2 linked regions of the Arabidopsis thaliana genome follow. The protein of the gene in region 1 interacts with the protein of each later gene in a pairwise test. Each region holds a gene or a part of one and is shown on either strand. Other genes may lie near its edges.

The links. Proteins that work in one complex are often made in the same cells at the same time.
Region 2: the proteins of RABA2c (region 1) and AT2G28960 interact in a protein complementation assay, tested with the Arabidopsis thaliana proteins (one large-scale study listed by BioGRID).

Annotation. Positions count from the first base shown.
Region 1 is NC_003074.8:17,245,705-17,250,523, reverse strand, and holds RABA2c (RAB GTPase homolog A2C), read left to right. Parts: upstream 1-1,700; 5' UTR 1,701-2,006; intron 2,007-2,128; 5' UTR 2,129-2,161; coding exon 2,162-2,326; intron 2,327-3,336; coding exon 3,337-3,825; 3' UTR 3,826-4,296; downstream 4,297-4,819. UniProt on the Arabidopsis thaliana protein: Intracellular vesicle trafficking and protein transport.
Region 2 is NC_003071.7:12,437,180-12,444,521, reverse strand, and holds AT2G28960 (Leucine-rich repeat protein kinase family protein), read left to right. Parts: upstream 1-1,929; 5' UTR 1,930-2,174; coding exon 2,175-2,265; intron 2,266-2,571; coding exon 2,572-3,100; intron 3,101-3,194; coding exon 3,195-3,667; intron 3,668-4,008; coding exon 4,009-4,153; intron 4,154-4,249; coding exon 4,250-4,321; intron 4,322-4,508; coding exon 4,509-4,580; intron 4,581-4,683; coding exon 4,684-4,761; intron 4,762-4,840; coding exon 4,841-4,998; intron 4,999-5,102; coding exon 5,103-5,335; intron 5,336-5,411; coding exon 5,412-5,538; intron 5,539-5,636; coding exon 5,637-5,702; intron 5,703-5,778; coding exon 5,779-5,968; intron 5,969-6,055; coding exon 6,056-6,464; 3' UTR 6,465-6,804; downstream 6,805-7,342. Other genes in the region: AT2G28970 (Leucine-rich repeat protein kinase family protein), read right to left, coding at 223-414, 534-603.

The DNA of each region.
Region 1 (4,819 bases):
AGAGGTTCATCATTTGACCTTACATGAACGAACGAAATATTCTCCACGCGAATATTTTTTCTTAAAAGTACTTTTGCAGGCGATGTATCTAATTAATTAACCTTTCTAGAGAGGTAACAAAAAATGTACCAAAGAAATTAAGAACTGTATCAAATATTATCCTTAAAATATGACCACTTGTGAAAACTCTATGTGCATATTCACATTTATAGATTTAATTTAGATATTGTGACTAAATGTACTCTTAATAGTTAGGGTGAATTATCCAATAGAAAGCAAATATAGTATACAAATAGATGTATGCAATTGTATGTATCGGCTCCTCTTTCGTCCACGCGATTGCCTTCTTTTGTGCTGTATTCGTTTAAAATCAATAGCAACGTACAATTGCGTCAAGACTAATCAGCAAGAATTGCGTCAGGATTATTCATAACCTAAAGTAATAAATGTTTAAATAGGTCAAATATATACTTTTTGAAAATACGTTACGGGAGTACATAACACCATATATTCTAGCGCATGTAATTTCTGAGTCGAAAAGTTGGAGAGTTGCCCAAGAACTAGAACATGACATTGATGCGGAGGAAGAACCTGAAGTAGTTGAAGCTTGTGAGTATGCGCACGTTCAAAGAGGAGAAGCTATGTGCCAAATTGACGCTTCGTGGACTGGTATTAACCAGAATGTTAGTTTGGGGTTCATGTTGACTAGCTCAACGACCAAGCTGTTTGGTCAAAGTAGCCAGAATTGTTATCGCAATGCCCTCTACGCAGAACTCGGAGCTCTTCTTTGGACAATGGAGTGCACTTTACAACAAAGTATCCAATCTATACATTTTGAAACCGATTGCTTAAGCTTACTTAAGATCCTTGATGAAAGTAAAGATTGGCCGGTGGAAAAGATTTTGCTAGATTTAAAGCTAGTTTTGGTCGGTTTTCTTTATCTCATATTCCACGCACTATGAATGTCCGTGTTGTCTGCCTCGCAAAGAGTGCAAGAGTACGAGGTGTACTTTTTTCCCATATAAACCCTCTCGTTTCGGAGTAGTTGGCCCACGAAACTAACTTTTTCGAACAAATTTAATTATTTGATGTTTTTGCGATAAAAAAAAACAAAAAAAAAACTTGGTTTATTAGAGGGCACAAAATCAAATTTATAACAAAATGAAGTTATTACGTTAGGTTGAAAAAAAGTATGACGTTTCAGGGATTAATAATTTAGCGTTAATGACTTAATGGTCCTCATCTTCATCAGATTAGAATGTAACATTCTATATGTGTCGCACCAAAAGACTAGTCTCGTCCTCTATAGCTATTAGCCTATTACCATCGCAATCTCCGACGTATTTTCCACTAGACTTGTAGCATGTTGCCTTCTAAAGCCGCCACATGATCCACTACCATCTTCATTTGCCCATCGGCCATCGCCACCAGAACCACCACATTGTTTAATTATATTATATGGATCAGAACTATATTCTTACAAATATTATGGGAAGTTGGGAATGTAGTGGTCAATTCATCACATCCTCATTTCATTATTTTCTTCTTCTATTAAAGTTGTTAATTCGACATTTTCAAATTGACGTTGCTTATTATCATTACCACACTCACAAATACAATCATTGCTCTTTAACGCAATTATAAAGCTCAAAACTACATTTCCAATAATACCCCTTGGAACATGCTCTTACTTTTTGCCAGCCTGCTAACGAATCATTAGTTGCCACATCAGCACGATAACTGAAGTCTTTGTCTTTTTCTCAAACGCGACGTCGTTTCTATTCCCTGACACAGAGATACGTATAGATACACCGTATATTCACTTTATTGCTCCTCTCCTCTTTCTCACGAAGAAGAAGACGAAGCCCATCAAATTAAACAAGAAAAATTCCATTTTCCTCCATTGATTGTGAGTGAGAACAAACATTTAAAGCTTCTTACTCAAAGTTTCTTTCTTTATAGATCTCAAAAAATTCGATATTTTTCTCGATTCATCCGCCATTAAGGTACACGAATCGTTTTTCGTCTTCTGAATTACTTGTGGGTTCGTCTTAATTTCGTTGGATCTGGGTTTGATTTTGGAGAAAAGTAATAAAGTTTCTGTCTTTTTTTTCTTTCGAATTTGTAGGTTTTATTGCGAGATCGAAGAGAGAAGGAGAAAATGACGCATAGAGTAGATCAGGAATATGATTATTTGTTTAAGATTGTGTTGATTGGTGATTCTGGTGTTGGGAAATCGAATATCTTGTCGAGATTCACCAGGAATGAGTTTTGCTTGGAATCTAAATCCACTATTGGTGTTGAATTCGCCACCAGAACTACTCAGGTGAGATTCGAATTTTTCTCTGTTTCTCTCTTTAAGTACTTTAGGAGTGAAATTCAGAATATTTGCTGTTAGAATCAGAGTAATACGAAGAGATAGTAATTTAGGTTTGGTATATAATGTTAAGAGGCTTAAAGATGGGATTTTGGGATAGGTTTTTTCTTCTTATTAGCTTGTCTCTGTTTTGATTTATCTTTAGCTATAATCCGTGAAGGTTTTTACTTTCACTGCTATACATAGATTTACCGTCTTCAGTTATGTATTTTGGTTTTGCTTGTAGCTTCATGACCACATTAGTGTAGTGTATATTTCAATTATGTAATTTGGTTTTGCTTGTAGCTTCATGACCTCATTAGTGTAGTGTAGAATTCAGGTATTCGATGGTTAATTTCAAGTGATGGCTCTAGAGCTTTTAGTCTGTTTTGTTTCGTTTAAAGTTGCTTCTTCGTTAGTTTCTTTGATTTGGATAGCAATTAAGTGATAGGTCTTAAGGTTTTTGGTTGCGTTGGTTTCTTAAGATTGAAGAATACAGTGTTTTGAGAGAGTAGACGGCGGATTTTTTCTCAGCTACTGAATCTTTTGTTCAAGAGAAAAAATCTTAGTTGTGCTGGCTATGAGTTATGACAGATGCTTTTCTCATTTTAAGACTATAAATGGATGGTCGTGAAGGCCAATTAAAAAAAATAAGAAGATTCTCACAGCTTGTCTCAATAATTCATTCTATTTCCTGATCATTTGTCATGCTTGACCTTGTCCACCTTTATACTTTCGTAAAGTCAACCGATAAATTTTTTGACAAGAGGAATTCTATGATACACTTATGTAGTTGAATGCGGAAAGATGCATTTAAAATGTTGATTGTTAATAATGTTACTAACCTGGTTTTAACAACTGAGAAGATATATGTTCTTTACTTTTGATTGTTGAATTAGCATTCTTATTCATAAACCTGGGAATGCTTCAATACCTAAGATCTAACTGGTTGTTACGGTGAATCTCTCATGCATACACAGGTTGAAGGAAAGACCATTAAGGCCCAGATCTGGGACACTGCAGGTCAGGAGAGGTACAGGGCGATCACAAGCGCGTATTACAGAGGCGCAGTGGGTGCACTTCTTGTCTACGACATTACTAAGAGACAGACCTTTGACAATGTTTTAAGGTGGCTGCGCGAACTGAGAGACCATGCAGATTCCAACATTGTGATCATGATGGCTGGGAACAAATCCGATCTGAACCACTTGAGATCCGTTGCTGAGGAAGATGGTCAAAGTTTGGCTGAGAAGGAAGGTCTCTCTTTCCTGGAGACATCTGCTCTTGAAGCAACAAACGTCGAGAAAGCGTTTCAGACCATCTTAGGTGAGATCTACCATATCATAAGCAAAAAGGCACTGGCTGCACAAGAAGCAGCAGCAGCTAATTCTGCAATCCCTGGGCAAGGAACTACGATTAACGTCGATGACACATCTGGAGGCGCGAAACGAGCATGTTGCTCTTCTTAAACTAAAGGTAAACTGTTTATTTCGGTTGCTCCTTGTTCAGAGATTCAAACTTTTGTTTTCACTGGCTTCTCTTCTTTTCAAGTTTTGGCTGATGAAACGTAACTATGCAAGACTATGTAGAATACTCTGTTTTTATTCTCTTCGGTTTGGGGTTTGTGTTCAGTTTAAAGCTTGTTAGTAGTATACTTAGAATCTTCTGGTGCTTGCTTGCTTTCCCTTCTTCTTCCCTTGGTGTGTTTCTATTGATTTCTGGTTTATAAAGTATTTTTTCTATCTCCGGTTTAGTCCGGTTCGTCTTGGCTTTGTTTAATCAAATCATTGATTCCTCTCTTATCAATGTATTGTATCCGGTTCCAAAATCCTCTCTTCATGTTACACACTGACAAGCTTCTACCAAAGAAAATAAATTTTAGTATTACGAAAGAAAAAATTGTTGACAAACTAATTTTGCTCCATCTATTATCACAAATAAAAATGCAATTGAACTGCAGTTACTATCAAATAATGGCTATGGTTTTTTATTTTGTTTTGAACCGACCAAATTAAAAGATGTTTTGAATTAATGGTATTATTTTCAAGTAAAATAGAGGAAAGTGACGACGATACATGGAGACAGAAAAGGAGTGATTGAGAAACCGATAACAAAAACGTCATTGTAGCCCAACTTGCAAAAACTAACCAATTGCATGCATGAAAGAGTTTATAATAAATCATGGAATTTTACATTGTCAACGTGTGAGGTTTTTCTTTTTGGACACAACCCAAAAGGCCTTTTAGTTCTAAATTGTTTCATATTAGAAAATTCTAAGTTCGGAAATGCTATACATGAAAATTCTTGGTGATTTCTAATGAGCAAAATAACATGAAAATTCTTGGTGATCCATTATATATATTTATGCGCCGAGAAACCATTCAGAGAAACAATAAGGAAGATAGTAAAACCTCATCTTTCTAATCGATAACTTCCATATCCTTCGATTAAAAGCTTTTGATC
Region 2 (7,342 bases), on another chromosome or scaffold:
TGGTCCTGTTTTAACAAGACAAATATCCAAAGAGCTTGACCTCACTCTGTGTATGATCTCCTCGAATGTACCATTTTGTCTTCCTTCCATATCTATTCTTGCCCACTTATCAGGACCAAGATAGAGATCAAAGTTTGGATAAATATTAAGACCATCATAATTTCCATATATGAAGGTAACCAATATAAGATAATTTGTGCCACGAGTGACATTCAGACTAACAATTACGCTTTCCTTCCGGAAAGTATCTTAGAGTCAAATATGGTTTTCGGAATATTTTGTTGAGCTCTTTATCGACTCTACCACTTTCTCCAGTCTGGATAAATGTTGAATCTGATGTGAATGTTAATCCAGTAGATGGATCACTATAAGGAGATTCCTCAATAGGAAATCCGCAATCCAAACTGATGAAACCTGTTCAAGCATAAAAAGGATCGACGAAGTTTAAAAAAAAACTATATATAGAAGATATATCAATTTAAAGGATGGATGATCCTCGGTGAATATCTACTAAAGAGTTTATAAATTATTACCTTCTTGTTTTTGGGCGCCAACTATAACGGCAAAGGTTCCAATTATGGCCAACAAAAGATGGCTCATCATCTTCTTGGAAAGCTAATATGGAAATCAAGAACATAAAAAAGACTTGCTTAGTGAAAACAAGGAGCTACGTAAATGAGAAATACCTCACATACACAGATTGGAAGGAATAATACATTAAAGAAAGTCAACTTAAGCCAGACATGAAGATTGAATAATTGCGAGAATTGCTTTATTTTTGGTTTATTGTGTGAATTTCTTTGACATGTTCCAACCCCAACTTGTGTTTAAAATAATAGGTTATGATCATAAGACTCCGACATGTATAGGAATTTCCTTGTATTAAGGTTTGTATATGTCTTCTTTAAACCCTTGACCAAACATAATAAATCTTCGATTGATCGTTAGACTTGGAGCACAAGGATATAACAAGGTTTGATTTAAGTAATTAGTTTGAACCCGGTCGTTACAAAAAAGGATTTACTACATATGAAAAACAATTACATATTACAACCTATTTGAAACATTACGTCTGATTCACATAAAGAAACATTACGTCTGATCCACAATAATTATAGACGTAACTTATGTAACTTGTTGTAGAATAATTATGTAAAAGAGAGAATTCGTATATTACAACATGGACAGGAAAAAATAAAGATAAAGATCATTTTGTTTGATTCAATGATTTGCTTCTTACAAACTCAGGTATTTATACAAATAATGTGCATCAAGGTAGCCAGTACTAAATTTTAAAAATATATTTACAACCACACTTTAACTATTACAAACTTGTTAAAAAAGCAACAATAAAAAATAAGAATTATCACATAATTAATATTTTTATATAGTTAACACATACAGTTTCCGATTGTCAAAGCTCCATTAAAAAAGCAAATTGTGAACCAAGTGGATAATGGTCCAGTAGCGTTTGGAAATGATCTTTCCAAAATAAGGTTTGATCTCTTTTCCCACTAAATCCCACCTAACAAGGGATATTAACAAAGGTTGATGTAGAATTTCTTGGTTGACAATGTATAGTAATACTGAGAATATGAGCTATAACTATAAGAGGCCAGCTATCTCTTAACGTCTATGAGTAAGCCATAGATAGATAATGCATATACAGGCAAACAAAACGAATATTAGGGTTTGTCAAGAAAAGACTAATCTTAGTTTATTTTTGAAGACCAAGAATTTTACATTATTGCAGAGGTATTGCGATTATAATTGAGTGAAAGTCAACAAAATGTATTAAATCCACCAAGTTGTTGTTAAGTACAAGTCGTTAGCAGAATTATCATATAGTTTATAAAGCTTTGACATTAGATCAACTTGGCAGGTTTTACATTGTTTAAACAAAGATTACATCAGGTGCTTTGATTTATGATTAAATTGCTCTCTTTTTTCCACAAAGTGGAATATAAATGTATATATCTTTGTTAGACCATTCTTCAGTCGTGCTTGGATATGAATCTATAATTGGAGAGTATTCCACGCCAACATGTGTTTTGGATTTTAATTGATCTTCATCTAAAGTATTTCTATCATTTGTACTAGAAAATCAATATATTGTATCATATATTTCAGATTGTCTTTGGTTTCAAAAATTTGTATGTTAACTTAACTTGAAAATGGAAGGTCGTCGTCAACGTTTACTGGTGTTCATCTTTGGGGCTTTGGCCATTACACATCTTGTTCAAGCTCAGCCGCCTGATCAACGAGGTTTCTCTATATACCTTTTTTTAATAATTGCTTCATGTTCAGTTTTTGACACATAAAGACTTAAGGATTAGCCAAGTAGTTGAGTGTTCTTGCTCGACTGGTCGAGATCACTAACCGATTTCTACTTTGTTGTACGCATAGCCACCATGAAAATAATATTAACGATTACAGATATAAGAGATTTGGTTAAAGAAAATAAAGGATTCTCTGTTTTCCAAAACTTTTGATTGTCTTCCTTATAAGCTTCATGGTCTAACAAAAGGAAAACATTATTTTTCACTAATAATACATTTTGTATCTTGCCAGGATTCATCAGTTTGGATTGCGGTTTACCCGTTAATGAGTCTCCTTATACCGACCCACGAACCGGATTAACATTCTCATCTGATGCTGATTTTATTTTAAGTGGTTTACGTGGTGAAGCTGGGGATGATAACACATATATCTACAGGCAGTACAAGGATTTGAGATATTTTCCCGATGGAATACGAAACTGCTATAATCTGAAAGTAGAGCAAGGCATCAACTATTTGATAAGAGCAGGGTTCGGATATGGAAATTATGATGGTCTTAATGTATATCCCAAATTTGATTTACATGTTGGGCCTAACATGTGGATTGCGGTTGATTTGGAATTCGGAAAAGATCGTGAGATCATTTACATGACAACGTCGAACTTATTGCAGATTTGTCTTGTCAAAACAGGATCAACTATACCAATGATATCAACCTTGGAACTACGGCCACTAAGAAATGATTCATATTTGACTCAATTCGGTCCCTTAGACCTCATCTACCGGCGGGCCTATAGTAGCAATTCTACCGGTTTTATACGGTATGTAAACTCAACTTTAGCAACTCTTTTATAAAAAAAAACAATCTAACATGATTCATTTACTTTTGCATGGCTACTCCAAAAATGGTTTTAGGTATCCTGATGATATTTTTGATCGCAAATGGGACCGATATAATGAATTTGAAACGGATGTGAACACCACCCTCAACGTGAGATCCTCGAGTCCCTTTCAAGTACCAGAAGCTGTAAGTAGGATGGGAATCACGCCCGAAAATGCCAGCTTGCCATTGAGATTTTACGTGTCTCTAGATGACGACAGTGACAAGGTTAACGTGTACTTTCACTTTGCCGAAATCCAAGCTTTGAGGGGCAATGAGACTAGAGAATTCGACATTGAATTGGAAGAAGATATTATTCAGTCAGCATATAGTCCTACGATGTTACAATCAGATACCAAATATAACCTATCACCTCACAAATGTAGCTCCGGGTTGTGCTACTTGAAACTCGTTAGAACTCCAAGGTCAACTCTTCCACCGCTGATTAGTGCTATTGAGGCTTTCAAGGTTGTGGACTTTCCATACGCTGAAACAAATCCAAATGACGGTACGCCACTATTCCATTCTCTATTCTGTAAGAAAGGGCTTATTTGCAAAAAAAAAAAAAACAATCACAAAATTGGGGGAAAAATAATGGTCACAAAACGGAGAAAATATTCATGTGTTTATCGTGTTTAATTTGAAATATTGTACTACCATGTTAAAAATTGTGTTATGAAATATGACATGATATTTGTTAAAAATAGCGCGATAAATGAACCAACTTAATCTTTTTTTTTTTTGCAAATAATAGGGTGGAATTTTTGTTTATTTAGTACATACCCTCATTAAGAAACTTTAATCTTTTATATGCTAATTCTTGGCTTCCTCCTCGAACCATTATGTTAGTCGCTGCTATGAAGGATATCGAAGCATTTTATGGATTGAAGATGATTAGTTGGCAAGGAGATCCTTGTGTCCCTGAACTATTAAAGTGGGAAGATCTAAAATGCAGCTACACAAATAAGTCTACTCCTCCAAGAATTATTTCTTTGTACGATCATTATATATCTCATAAGCATATTGAAACCTAAATCTCTTAAGTCTTAAGTATCTTATATCTGAAAAAATGTTCTTATATTGTGAACAGAGATTTGTCATCACGAGGGTTAAAAGGGGTCATTGCGCCTGCCTTCCAAAATTTGACCGAGCTTCGAAAACTGTAAGAGCTATTAGTATTTTACTTAAACGCGATCCATGAGAAAACATTTATATTGTGACCAACATATTTCTAATTTTTCACATCTTATAACAAATTGGACGAAAAAAAATATCTCATCTCATACTATTTTTTTATTTATCCTATTAACGGAAAATAGATTGACTTTTTAACGTTTTATAAATACTAGAGACTTGTCAAATAATAGTTTTACTGGAGGAGTGCCCGAGTTTCTAGCCAGCATGAAGTCATTATCGATCATGTAAGTTGATATAAACAAACATAATGGCCGGCCACTTATATTTCACTAGGTATACTTGTTGTCACTTTACATTGACATTGTAATTTTGTGTTTACCTTGACAGAAATTTAAATTGGAATGACCTTACGGGTCCTCTTCCTAAATTGCTTCTTGATAGAGAAAAGAATGGGCTTAAGCTAACGTAAGATTTTCACCCTTCTTTTTTTTTTATCAACTTTCCTCAACCTATAGTCTTATTCAACAACACTTATTTTCTTAAGGATCCAAGGAAACCCAAAGTTGTGTAACGATGCGTCATGCAAAAATAATAACAATCAAACGTACATTGTACCAGTTGTTGCGTCAGTAGCTTCTGTGCTCATCATTATAGCCGTACTGATTCTCATTCTTGTTTTCAAAAAGAGAAGGCCAACGCAAGGTACATAATTATACAATGAGATATATATTCTTATCGTAACATGCATGCATGATGATGACATACCAAAAGATGCCTAATCTCATGGAACTTTTTGGTTGTGACAGTTGATTCATTACCTACAGTGCAACATGGGTTACCAAATAGACCGTCTATATTTACTCAAACGAAAAGGTTCACTTATTCAGAGGTAGAAGCATTAACAGATAATTTTGAAAGAGTTCTTGGAGAAGGAGGGTTTGGGGTAGTGTATCATGGTATTTTAAATGGTACGCAACCAATAGCTGTTAAACTACTCTCTCAATCATCAGTACAAGGCTATAAGGAATTCAAAGCTGAGGTATGTTAATACATAATACATGGAATATATTGTAACATGTGATGGCTCTTAAATTTGTTTGGACATGGGTGGTCAGGTTGAACTTCTTTTGAGAGTGCACCACGTCAATTTGGTTAGTTTGGTTGGATATTGTGATGAAGAAAGCAACTTGGCCCTGCTTTATGAGTATGCACCGAACGGAGACTTAAAACAACATCTATCAGGTATAAATTTGAATTTCCCACATTTTAAAATAGTGATTACTTAGCCATATTTTAATGTTCATGCTTTTATAACATTACTAAAAGTTTCTTAATTATAGGAGAACGGGGTGGCTCTCCATTGAAGTGGTCAAGTAGACTAAAAATTGTCGTCGAAACTGCGCAAGGTTCGTTCTTAGCTCAAATGCATTAATCACTTTATATGGATCATCTAACATGAACAATTTAATTATATAAATATAGGATTAGAATACTTGCATACGGGTTGCAAACCTCCAATGGTACATCGTGATGTAAAAACAACAAATATACTTTTAGACGAACACTTCCAAGCAAAACTCGCCGATTTTGGCCTTTCAAGATCATTTCCAGTTGGAGGTGAAACTCATGTTTCAACAGCTGTTGCTGGAACTCCTGGATATTTGGATCCCGAGTAAGTTTTACATCACCAAACTAGTTTGATTCAAATTGTTTTTCCTCATTCATTTGAAAAAAAAAATACTTCATGTTTTGTTTGTAGATATTATCGAACAAATAGGTTGAACGAAAAGAGTGATGTATATAGCTTTGGGATTGTATTATTGGAGATCATCACAAGTCGACCTGTGATTCAGCAAACCCGAGAGAAGCCGCACATAGCAGCATGGGTGGGATACATGCTTACTAAGGGAGATATTGAGAACGTTGTGGATCCAAGACTCAATAGAGATTATGAGCCTACTTCTGTTTGGAAGGCTCTTGAGATAGCAATGTCTTGCGTGAATCCTTCTTCGGAGAAAAGACCAACCATGTCTCAAGTTACTAATGAACTAAAGCAATGTCTAACATTAGAAAACTCAAAGCGAGGAGTGAGAGAAGACATGGGATCAAGAAGTTCTGTTGAAATGAGCACAAGCTTTACAACCGAAATTAACCCAAAAGCACGATAACTTGTGCCAAAAAAAATCCCATGGTTATTAAGGATTTTGGATTTCCCTGACTTACTTTACAAAAATATAATTTTTGGTGGTCATTTATTTGTACGACTTCATTGTATTTACTTGTGATTGTGGTCGTATGTGATATTAGTGTGGATGTTTTGTTTGGTTTGGTTTGGTTTGGTTTTATGTTGGTTGTGGCCTTGTGTGTGTTTTGGCGGTGATCCATCATAAATGATTCTTTTGCAAATCTCTGATGATTTTTTTCATCGGATTATGGTATTTTTATTGTTTATATATGCTCACTGATCCAAAATATGTTGTCATTGTTTATGTTACATGCTTCCCTAACTCCTTTTGTAATTGATCAAAAACTTTTGTTTGATAATTATCAAGTTTTGGACTAGTTCTTTTGGTCCATGGACTACAAATCTGCTTCCATCTAATGTTTCTCTGGACCAGTCTCATAATTATACATTTGTTGTTCACATAGTACATCTCCATAATATCATATATTTGACTTTCGGTATGAAATCTTTGTATATATATAGGTTGGACCAAGAAGTTAGGATTCATAATCATAAAAAGTAAGAAAGACGACTAGTTCACGACTCACATCAAATTCCAAAGTATAATTTTCTTCGTAAAATGAAAGTTATATTAGATGAAAATCTTGCAGGTCCATTGGATATCAATTCACGAGATATGTAAACATACCTATATTAATATCACATTATTTTGATTGTATTTGTATAAGTTTTCGCCTACTCACATGCCATGATTTTGCATAAGCTGTTTTTTTTTTTTTGCATAAGCTTATCAGGCTAGTTACGGTCACATTAGTTACTAGAACATTCAACATATATAATTTTCCATAGCAGGATCCGGGT